Drosophila melanogaster: one gene and its partner. The protein of the gene in region 1 interacts with the protein of each later gene in a biochemical or structural test. Each region holds a gene or a part of one and is shown on either strand. Other genes may lie near its edges.

Region 1 (5,424 bases):
TTTGCCTTTTATATTCGTTTTAATTTTTTCATTATCATTGAATCCATTCTGGACATTGTCAAGTCTTACATTTGCGCGATTGTTCCTGAATTTAATTAAAAAAGAATGAATGACAAAAATTATATTTGCGGAATACAACAAATAAAAATGAAACCAGCTCCCCAAATGACAATTGAATGAAAACAACAACAATCAACAATCGAAAACAACAACAATGCAGGAACGAACAATAAAACGCGAGTCTTTCTCTTTCACCGCGGAGAATCGGTGAATTTCGAATGGGTTAAGCGGTGAGGGTGATTTCTGGCGACAGGATAATGGTTAATATTGTATTCGAATAATAGTAATCACGGCACAACTTGACTCATCTCTCACCTGCCATTATGCGATCAAATTAAATTTACATTTATTTAATTTTCAACTGCACTCTGATACTGTATTTATACTGATAGATTTTTATCAGATAAATATCTGATAAATAAAATGTTTTTCAGTTTGCACGGCACCATAACAAAGAAAGAAAATCTATTATTAGCTTAAGTAATTATTAAATTAGACAGAAAACATATTTAGAGTTTATTTATCCAACTACGAGTATTAGAAGTTTATCATGAATTATTTTACAACTTCCACTAATTTGAACAATATTCTTAAGACAATTTTGATTGTCACTATTCCGCAAAAATGAAATTAAAAATGCATCAGCTAGCTTATTTATTTATTGAATTTGATAGCAAAACACATAAAGAGTATATGTGCTAATAATTTAAAACGTTTATCCTTATTTGTTTTACTCTTTACACTTATTTTAACTGGATTCTAAAAGAATATTTATTTATATAAAATAAGGAATTCATCATAAATTGTATCACAAATGTAACAATTATTTATGCCGCATGTGGGTGGGGAGCGATTTTAGGAAACAGGATCCTGCATTCATCCTACACTGTGTGCTATTATCACTCACTTAGTGTCCTCGTCTGCTAAGTGAAATGCTGAAAACTCAGAAAGAAAAATGTGACGCGGACAAAACTTTTTCCATTACACAACGTACAACAGTTTTTGCTTTCATTATTATTTGAGATTCGTTGTTGTTGCCGTTCTACGTTGTCCTTTCTTCCTTTTTTGGGGAAAGCAGACACAACGGAAACGTTGCGAACGCTGAAAGCTTTTTATGCTCTTACGCTATGGGCCAGGTATAAGAGCTTTGTAAATGCAATTGGAAATTGCACTAAGCTTTGGTGCATCGTTGTGTGGGTGCGTGCATGAGCAGGAGAAAGGCAAAGAGAAGGGTGGGATAAAAGCTCAAAGGGGAGAATGGTTTTACTTTTGGGGTTATGGAGTTTTAAAAAATATAATAGAATATTGCAACCTTATTCCTGAAAGAAACATTTTTATTAAAACAACGGCTCTTGGGGTCAAGATGTTGTTTAATGAAGCAATGTTAAACTCTTACAATCTTTGCATCACAAAAGCCATAAATTATGTCTTCGTTTCGAAAGAGAGGTAAATATGTGTGTTAACAAGAATTTGAAAACTTATTATTATTATTTGGGAAACTCTTTTAGTTACGAATGAAAAAAACATTAGTTTGCGGTAGATTTAATTGTCAATTATTCGATTGCCCTTGTCCTTTCAATCAACATTAAAAGGTTTGTTTTCTTTTGCTACTGCTTATTTGGTAAACCAAAAAGAAAAGCTGGCTAAAACATCTTTTCTATAATAAAGCACAGAGGACCGTTCTACATGCATCTGGGTGAAGATTTGCCTCACTTCCACTGGCTCCTTTGTGGGCTTCTTTCTATGGCCAAATAAGTAAATAATTGCAGTAATATCCTTTCTGGAGCGGCCAGGAAGAAGTGGCAAAAAGGGAACGGAAAAGAATGGAGAAGAATGGCGAGCGAAATGAAAGAATGCGAGAATGGAGAGCGGGGCAAGAGAATGGAAAGCGTGTTTCCATGTCCTTTTCACAAACTAAAAAGTCCTTTCACACACACACATAGTACTGACTACAGAGTACACATAGAGAACGGTATATAGCAGAACACAGACACCCACAATGGACAAAAATTCACACCAAAGACCCATTGTGATTGGCCCAACAAACACGCACACACATACGCGGGGAGAGAGTTGTGTTCTCTCCCTCTCTCGTTCTAACTGCATAGGAGATGCGGAAGTGCAACGCCGCCGTGCAAACAATAACGGAAATTGTGTGCCCACTGTGCGAAAATCAATGTGCTCCCGCGCTCGCCCTGGCTCTCTTTCTCTCTCTCGCTCCGTACTTTGAGCTCCCCCTGCCCCACAGGATTGGGGTCGCTAAATCGAATAACACGAAGCACAGCCGAACGAGAGCTGCCTGGCTTTTGGCTCTATTGAGCTCCTCTATTGAACACACCCCTCAATGGGCGAACAACTATAACCGATATAAAGGAGCCAATGGAACAAAGCCAGTGGAACAATGGGCCGCAAAACGAAAGAGAGAAGACGCTATGTGTGAGTGAGAGCGCGACGACGGCGCAGCTCTCTCCCAGGTAAGAAGCCCAGCCTCTATCCCGCTCGCACCCACGTGGCTTACGTAAAGGTAATGGTGCGAGGGTTGCTCGCACTTCGTGCTCAACTCTCTTCCGAGAGAAACGGGATTTGGCTGCAGTCGTGTAGGCCGCACTGGAACACTACTGAAATCAGTCACAAAAAAGCAGTCGATCCGAGCAGAAGCAAAGCAAGAGCAAAGCAGAAGCAAAAGCAAGACAGTAATTGACATAGAGACAAAGAAAAAATCTGAGAAATCACAGTTGAACCACAGACATATTGTGTTCTAGAAAGTGAAGTGTTGATCTTGAAAGAAGCAAAAGTTAAACAAAGTGTTCAAAATAGCTGGAATGGCCACCTTATCGACACACCCCAATTACGGTTTCCATTTGGGTCAGGCCCAAGGCTTGGAGGACTACGCACCGCAAAGTCAGCTCCAGCTGAGTCCCGGCATGGACATGGATATCAAGCGTGTGCTGCACTACTCCCAAAGCCTGGCAGCCATGGGCGGATCGCCCAATGGACCCGCCGGCCAGGGTGTGAACGGATCCTCGGGCATGGGTCACCACATGTCCAGTCACATGACCCCGCACCACATGCACCAGGCGGTCTCCGCCCAACAGACCTTGTCGCCCAACAGTTCCATCGGATCCGCCGGCAGTCTGGGTAGCCAGAGCAGCCTGGGCAGCAATGGCAGTGGTCTCAACTCCAGTTCGGGTCACCAGTCCGCCGGCATGCACAGTTTGGCCACATCGCCGGGACAAGAGGGTCACATCAAGCGTCCAATGAACGCGTTCATGGTCTGGTCCCGCCTGCAGCGTCGTCAGATCGCCAAGGATAACCCCAAGATGCACAACTCTGAGATCTCCAAGCGCCTGGGTGCCGAGTGGAAGTTGCTGGCCGAGTCGGAGAAACGACCATTCATCGATGAGGCCAAGCGCTTGAGGGCCCTGCACATGAAGGAGCACCCGGACTACAAGTACCGGCCACGCCGCAAGCCCAAGAACCCACTGACCGCTGGACCCCAGGGTGGACTGCAGATGCAGGCCGGCGGCATGGGTCAACAGAAGTTGGGAGCTGGACCGGGAGCTGGAGCCGGAGGCTACAATCCATTCCATCAACTACCGCCATACTTTGCACCCTCACACCATCTGGATCAGGGTTATCCAGTGCCGTACTTCGGTGGATTTGACCCACTGGCTCTATCGAAATTGCATCAATCCCAGGCAGCGGCGGCGGCGGCGGTCAACAATCAGGGTCAGCAGCAAGGACAAGCCCCGCCCCAATTGCCGCCCACCTCGCTGAGCAGCTTCTACTCGGGCATTTATTCCGGCATCTCGGCACCTTCGCTGTACGCCGCACACTCCGCCAATGCCGCCGGACTCTACCCATCCTCGTCCACCTCCTCGCCGGGATCTTCGCCCGGAACCATCACGCCAAATGGTATGGATGGTTCCATGGACAGTGCCCTGAGGCGACCGGTTCCGGTGCTCTATTAGAGTCGAGTTTTAGGTTAGAGTACAGAGTAGAGTACAATTGTTGACGCATTCCCAAAGTGATCCACTGGTTTTAAATCTTCAAAAGCTCTAAGTAAGCCAATCCTCCAAACCACTCCGCTTAATTCTAGTACAATCTTCGCGCACTTCAGATCTAGAGAGTAAGGAGGGAACACACAAAACATTCCTAGCCAATACACAAACTATAAATTATAATTTATTTAGCGCACTCACTATACCGCAAAGAAAATTAAAAAAGATAAACCTAATTGTAAATTAATTTTATTTAGTTTTAAGCATCGAGCGAGCGCCTCCTTCTTGTTGTTTTTTTTCGCATCAGCACCTACCTAAAATGTAGCTTATAGTTTTAATTGTCTAACCCTCTCAAATTGTAAATATCCCTGCAACTATTCGTTAAAGTCTCAGTGTAGCCCCAAATGCGAGGAAAGAACGTACATCAATGTATTATTGTATTATTAATTGTATTGTAAAAGTTATCATCTAAGCGAATAATGGTTCATGAAGGCCAACACAAAACAAAGACATTTAAAAGTGAATAAAAACAAAATGATTTGAGAAAACCAAATTTGAAAACCTGTTTATTCTATTTCAAATAATTTACAGCTTGGAAGATGTGAAACTGGCAATTGGTTTTGAAATGAATGATGATGATTCTCTACCAAATGTAATCACATTAAAGACATAGGTAGAGTTGTTGTGACTGGAATCAGACGAAGTTATCATATATATATATATACCGGGAAAAAGCTGAAAAACAAAAAAGATAATTTTAAGCCTTTAATAGAATGCATTTCCCATTTTCTTAGCCAGCATACCACATTTTACAGTTATGTTATAAATTTACTTTAAACATATGCCCAAGCTATATGTGACTTAAATTTTTCAGCTGATTATATTTTATACTCCATAATTGGATTATCATATTTAAATTCGAATTTGTGTCTGTATTTTTCATAACCTTTAAGATTATACAGGGTCGTGCTCTGAGCATGCATCAAAATTATCAACGAAATTAATAACGAATTTGAATATTCATAAGACCATTAACATAATATTCTCAACTGGATTGAGTGAGTCATTCGGATAAAGCTTAAAAACAATCATTTCATCATCACCTAATAATGGGTATGAATTTTTCTGTTTTGTGAGTAGTATTCGTTTAATATCAAAGTCCTATCCCGTTTCTGATCAAATTAACCTTGTCTCTGGGTGTCTTTACTATTATTTCGCTCATTTCTGTGTGAGTTTTTGTTGGTTAGTTTACACCCGCTGGGAAGAGATGAAAAAACTAAATTTGATTTGCCATTATACAACTATTTGCCGTTGTGTATTAATTTCTATTGATTAATGCGCTGTTTATTTTGCGCCTCCAAGA
Region 2 (4,652 bases), on another chromosome or scaffold:
GAGTTGGACACGCAGATGGTACTCTTGGTTTCGCTGGGGGATTATGTTAGATGCGTTATCCAATAAGGATCCAAAGCTAAGGAAGATCACCTGGCTGGCCGCTCCTCGTCGACGTTCATGGGAGGATTGAGCACCCGAGTGGGGCATTCCACTCGGTAGGTCTTGTTGTTCAGTTGAATGAATCCCTGCAGCTTGGCTTCCTCAGCAGGCATTGGGCTGTTTTCACCAGAAGATGGTCCGTAATATGGGGAGTTATCATCCACTTGCTTGTCGGCGGCTGTCCTCCTCTTGAGGCACCGGGTCTTCTTCATCCGGCGGCGTGGGGACATGGGCTGCAGTGGCGGTGATTGCTCCGGACTGAACCATTCCCGGTCCAAGCACGGCTGCTCATTAAGAGCCATGTCCAGGGCGCGAACAACGTGGGTCCTCTTTTCGCGATCCTTCCGTATTTTCTCCTTGGAGAAGTGGCGCAGCTCCTGAATCCTCTTGAAAAACTTGGAATTTTTTAAATTCATTGTCTCGTCCGCTGGTCGTCCTTGATTAAAAATTGAAAATTTTTCACGTGCTAAAAGCTATATCTATAAAATTGATTCGTGTCAATGGTTAGAGCCGGAATTCTGCGTCACGAATAAAAACAATATTATTTTGCGATGATTGTGTTGTGAAAATGAAAATAATTATAACCGAAATGACGCTAAAATCAAAACGTAGCTCCACTGGCCACGTCGCTTGAGTCGTTTGAGTTTTAAATCATCGATTTGGGGCATATCATAAATTTAGTTTCTCCGAACATCAAACATACCACTAACAACTAAGTGTACAAAAATATTTAATAAACAATAGGGTAAGCATTTACAATTTAAGCATAACAATAAGTCTTTAGGGAAATTTTCGTTGGAATGTTAAAGTTAAAAATATATATTGCGATTGATCACAAAATGTGGAAATGGTTTACAAATGGTCCTTCGAGCTTTTCAAGTTCGTCAATAAAATGGTAACATAATAAGGCCCATCTAGTCGGTAACAAACGGTTCGAAACGCTTGAGCACCGCGTTCATGGATGGGCGATCCTGCGGATCCAGGGCAGTACAGTGCAAGCCCGCCTCGATGGCGCACATGCACATGTCCAGCTCCTTGCCCATCGGTGCTGCTAAGTGCTTCTCTAGCAGCTCCATCCGGTTTTGCCGCCACTGCTGCTTAACGTAGTCCAGCAAATTCTTCTTCGTCTCGTTTTCCGGCACGCGATCCGTCACCTGACGACCCGTGAACACCTCCAACAGCACAATGCCGAAGCTGTAGACGTCCACGCCCGTGCTGAGTTGTCTGAAGTTGCGGAACTCCGGTGGCAGGTAGATCTTAGTGCCGAAAACTTTATTCACTTCCACCACAGCGTCCAAGGACTTGGGACCCTCGCGCACCAGACCGAAGTCTCCGATTTTTGGCTGCAGACATTGGTCCAGCAGGATGTTGGCCGGCTTAATATCTCCATGAATCAGCGGTGTGCCTCGCGCCGTGTGCAGAAAGTAGATGCCTCTTTTGGAAACGAAATGAAAAGTTAAAGAAGATTGATAGCACTAAAGAAACGATAAATCCCACCTAGCCGTGCCGAGGCTGATGCTAAACCGCTGCTGCCAGGTGAGTGCTGGTAGTGGGTTTTGTGCCTTATGCGCTCGTAAACGAGCCTCCAGGGAGCCGCCCTTCATCAGCTGGTAGACGAGGCACGGCTTACCACCTTTGATGCTGTATCCGTAGAGGGCCAGGATATTGTCGTGCCGGATGCTGTTTAAATACTTGAGTTCGTTGTAGCTCTGCTGCAGCTCCACCATTTTCTGGTCGATGTTGGGACTGCGGTAGTTCATCACCTTGATGGCCACGTCCAGTTGCTTCCATTTGCCGCGGTACACGTCTCCGAATCCGCCCTGTCCCAGTCGATTATCCGGACTCCAGCCGTCCGTGGCGTTTTCTAGCTCCGCATAATCGATCTCCAGCAAGGATTCGGCTGCCCGCTGTACGGTGCTAATGTGTATATTGCCCAGGGACTCCAGGCTGGGTATCTCCTCCGTTGCCGTTGTGCTGGTGCGATTGTTGTTTGAGTTGCTGACGCCCGAGGAGGAGGGAAACGGCGGGCCGTTGTTTACTTTGGCACTGGAATCGGGAGCAGCGCGCAGCTCGCTGATGGTGGGCACGCTCCTCGGTATGTACTTGTGCAGATCCTCGCTAACGTAATCTTTGATCAGACGCATGGCGTTATGAAGCTTCAATCTAAAGTAAGAGGAGTCATTTCTGGGATCTCGGCGGTTATTATCTCAAACTGACTCACTTTTTGAACAAAGCAAACAATGTTTGCACCGTGTGATTGTACTGACCGCCCCAAATGTTGAGGAACTCATTGGAGGCTGAGCGGCCACGCTGCTTCTGGCTGCTTATCTGCTCCACCTGGTCGGGATAGAGTTTTACGGCCGTGGCCAGCTGTTGCCATACGTCTAGGGCATCCAAGTGGGCACATAGCTGGGCTCGCACGGGCAACGGCAGCAGTCGGATGGCCATTGTGTTGTCCAAGTGGGAACGCGACCTGGTCCTGTTGCCATTCGCTTGGTTTTGGGCCTGCGCCTCGGCTTCGGCGGTCTGGACGCCACTCATCTTTCACTTATGGGCGGGCGGTTCAACCGGTTGCGACTGATTCATGCGGCTCCGGATGCAAGAGTGCCCGTTGGATGAGGGGTTGGCGGCGCTGGTAACCTGTTGCAGCGAAACGAAAATCGCTTTTGGGTAAATTCCCAACGCGATTCGATGAAAACCTGTGGATGACTTGTTAACAGCGGCGCAACAAGTGATAAAGCAGCTTAACAGAGCGAAGCAGTCTGGCAACGCTGCCAATGTCTAGCAAATAATACACTCGAAAAAGTGGTAGATGCTTAGGAGCCACTGTTTAAAATTCAGAAGTAAAAAGAAAGCAGAGTAATTATTAAAAAGGTATTTGCTGTATGAAAATATTAAATAGATTTTAAATAACCTCCACATATTTTATGTAATTTGCACAGTATTTTGTATACTAAAATATCTTAAAAAATACCAAAGGCAATTAGTGTATGACCAAATGAGCCTTGCAGTTTGGCGGACATGCGTCGTTTTCAAGTGCCCCGCAGGTGGCCACACTGCTGACACCGTCACGAACGCATCGCTATCGCTAATTCTTCGCTTCGCCCATTTATAATTCAGCAAATACGTCAATTAGCCCCACCAGCGAACGGAAAAGCCTCAAGCTGGCGGAGAAAAAGGTCCAAATGGCGCTATGCCAGACATCGGTGGTGAGTGTGCGGCTGGATCCCCGAGATCCGGTAATTGTGTCAGCGGCGGTGGCTCCATTGCATTCGACATATGGAAGGCATCCTACCAAGGAGTTTCTCCATTTCCTCCAGCTTCACCTCCTTCCGCCGCCCACGCGGGAAAGTGAAAGCTTTCCCAGTGGTCATGGTAGTTACTACAAAACGATAGTTACAACTGCTGAAATCCGAGATACCAAAACTGCAAACCTCTCGGGTGTGGATGTGTGTGCATGCGAGTGCGTGTCTGTCTGGATGTCGCTGTGTTAGTGCGTTCGTTGCCTTGCAGTTTTGTATGTTTCTTGCCCTCTGGATTTTCCGATTTTCGGCTTTTCCGCGTAGTACTTCAAACTCCCATGGGGGGTTATATTTAGCAGTAATACACGCTGCGTAGCTTGTGCTATTATCTACAAGTCGGGGCCTCCTTCCTTATCGTCCGCTGATAACGCAAAACAAACTATTAATAAAACAAGCAACTGGCATACCGGTGTATATATATGTACAATGTACATATATATATATACCAGCATATGCATGGTATCTATGTACATATGTGCACTGCGACATTCTTCGCAAACAAATAATTTACATACTTTATTTGCGTTTTGCATATTCACATTACAGCTGCGTCTGAATTTTAATGGGAGCTCAAAAAGGCTCACCACATACTGTGCGCCACATTTTCAACTTCTATAGCGTCTTGCCCTTTACTTGCTTCGTGGATTTTTTGCGCAATCCCTATTGTTTTACCCCCAACTGTTTAGGCCCTAATAGCGTGAAGTTGAGCCGCGATAATATAATGAGTGTTTAAGTCAACACAAGCCCAGATTTGTCGTGCATTTCAAATTTAATTATACACAATTAACCGCATCCCCTCTCGCCCGCAGCTGAAGGTGTACCATGCCGTGATCGAGGACGTCATCACAAATGTGCGGGACGCGTTCCTGGACGAGGGCGTCGACGAACAGGTGCTGCAGGAGATGAAGCAGGTCTGGCGCAACAAGTTGCTTGCTAGCAAGGCCGTCGAGCTGAGCCCGGACTCCGGCGATGGCTCCCATCCGCCACCCATCGTGGCCAACAATCCAAAGGTAAGCGAAACGGAGCCCTTGGGTGGATATTCTCATCGCGAATCCTTGTGTCTGTCTAACTTAACGTAGAAGTCCATACAAATTGTGATATCTTCATCCCAAAAAAAATTTCCAACTAAGATATCTTGCTTTATCTTTCTTATGCTCCACCACTTGAACCACTACAATGCAACGCGCCTCACCAACAACATCGACTAATGCGCTGCTCTTTGCACATCATCAAAATCCATTCAAAAACCCA

What was found.
Region 2: of the proteins of D (region 1) and pll, one has a biochemical effect on the other in vitro, tested with the Drosophila melanogaster proteins (one study listed by BioGRID).

Annotation. Positions count from the first base shown.
Region 1 is NT_037436.4:14,174,797-14,180,220, reverse strand, and holds D (dichaete), read left to right. Parts: upstream 1-1,600; 5' UTR 1,601-1,652; intron 1,653-1,728; 5' UTR 1,729-2,882; coding exon 2,883-4,031; 3' UTR 4,032-4,611; downstream 4,612-5,424. UniProt on the Drosophila melanogaster protein: Essential for segmentation and CNS development. May modulate the actions of other transcription factors, including gap and pair-rule proteins.
Region 2 is NT_033777.3:27,250,318-27,254,969, forward strand, and holds pll (pelle), read right to left. Parts: upstream 2,866-4,652; 5' UTR 2,641-2,865; coding exon 2,321-2,640; intron 2,263-2,320; coding exon 1,597-2,262; intron 1,534-1,596; coding exon 1,014-1,533; 3' UTR 814-1,013; downstream 1-813. Other genes in the region: TTLL6B (tubulin tyrosine ligase-like 6B), read right to left, coding at 1-33, 91-515; TfIIA-L (transcription factor IIA L), read left to right, coding at 3,285-3,308, 4,211-4,411. UniProt on the Drosophila melanogaster protein: Plays an essential role in the Tl receptor signaling pathway that establishes embryonic dorsoventral polarity; the signal directs import of dl into ventral and ventrolateral nuclei, thereby establishing dorsoventral polarity.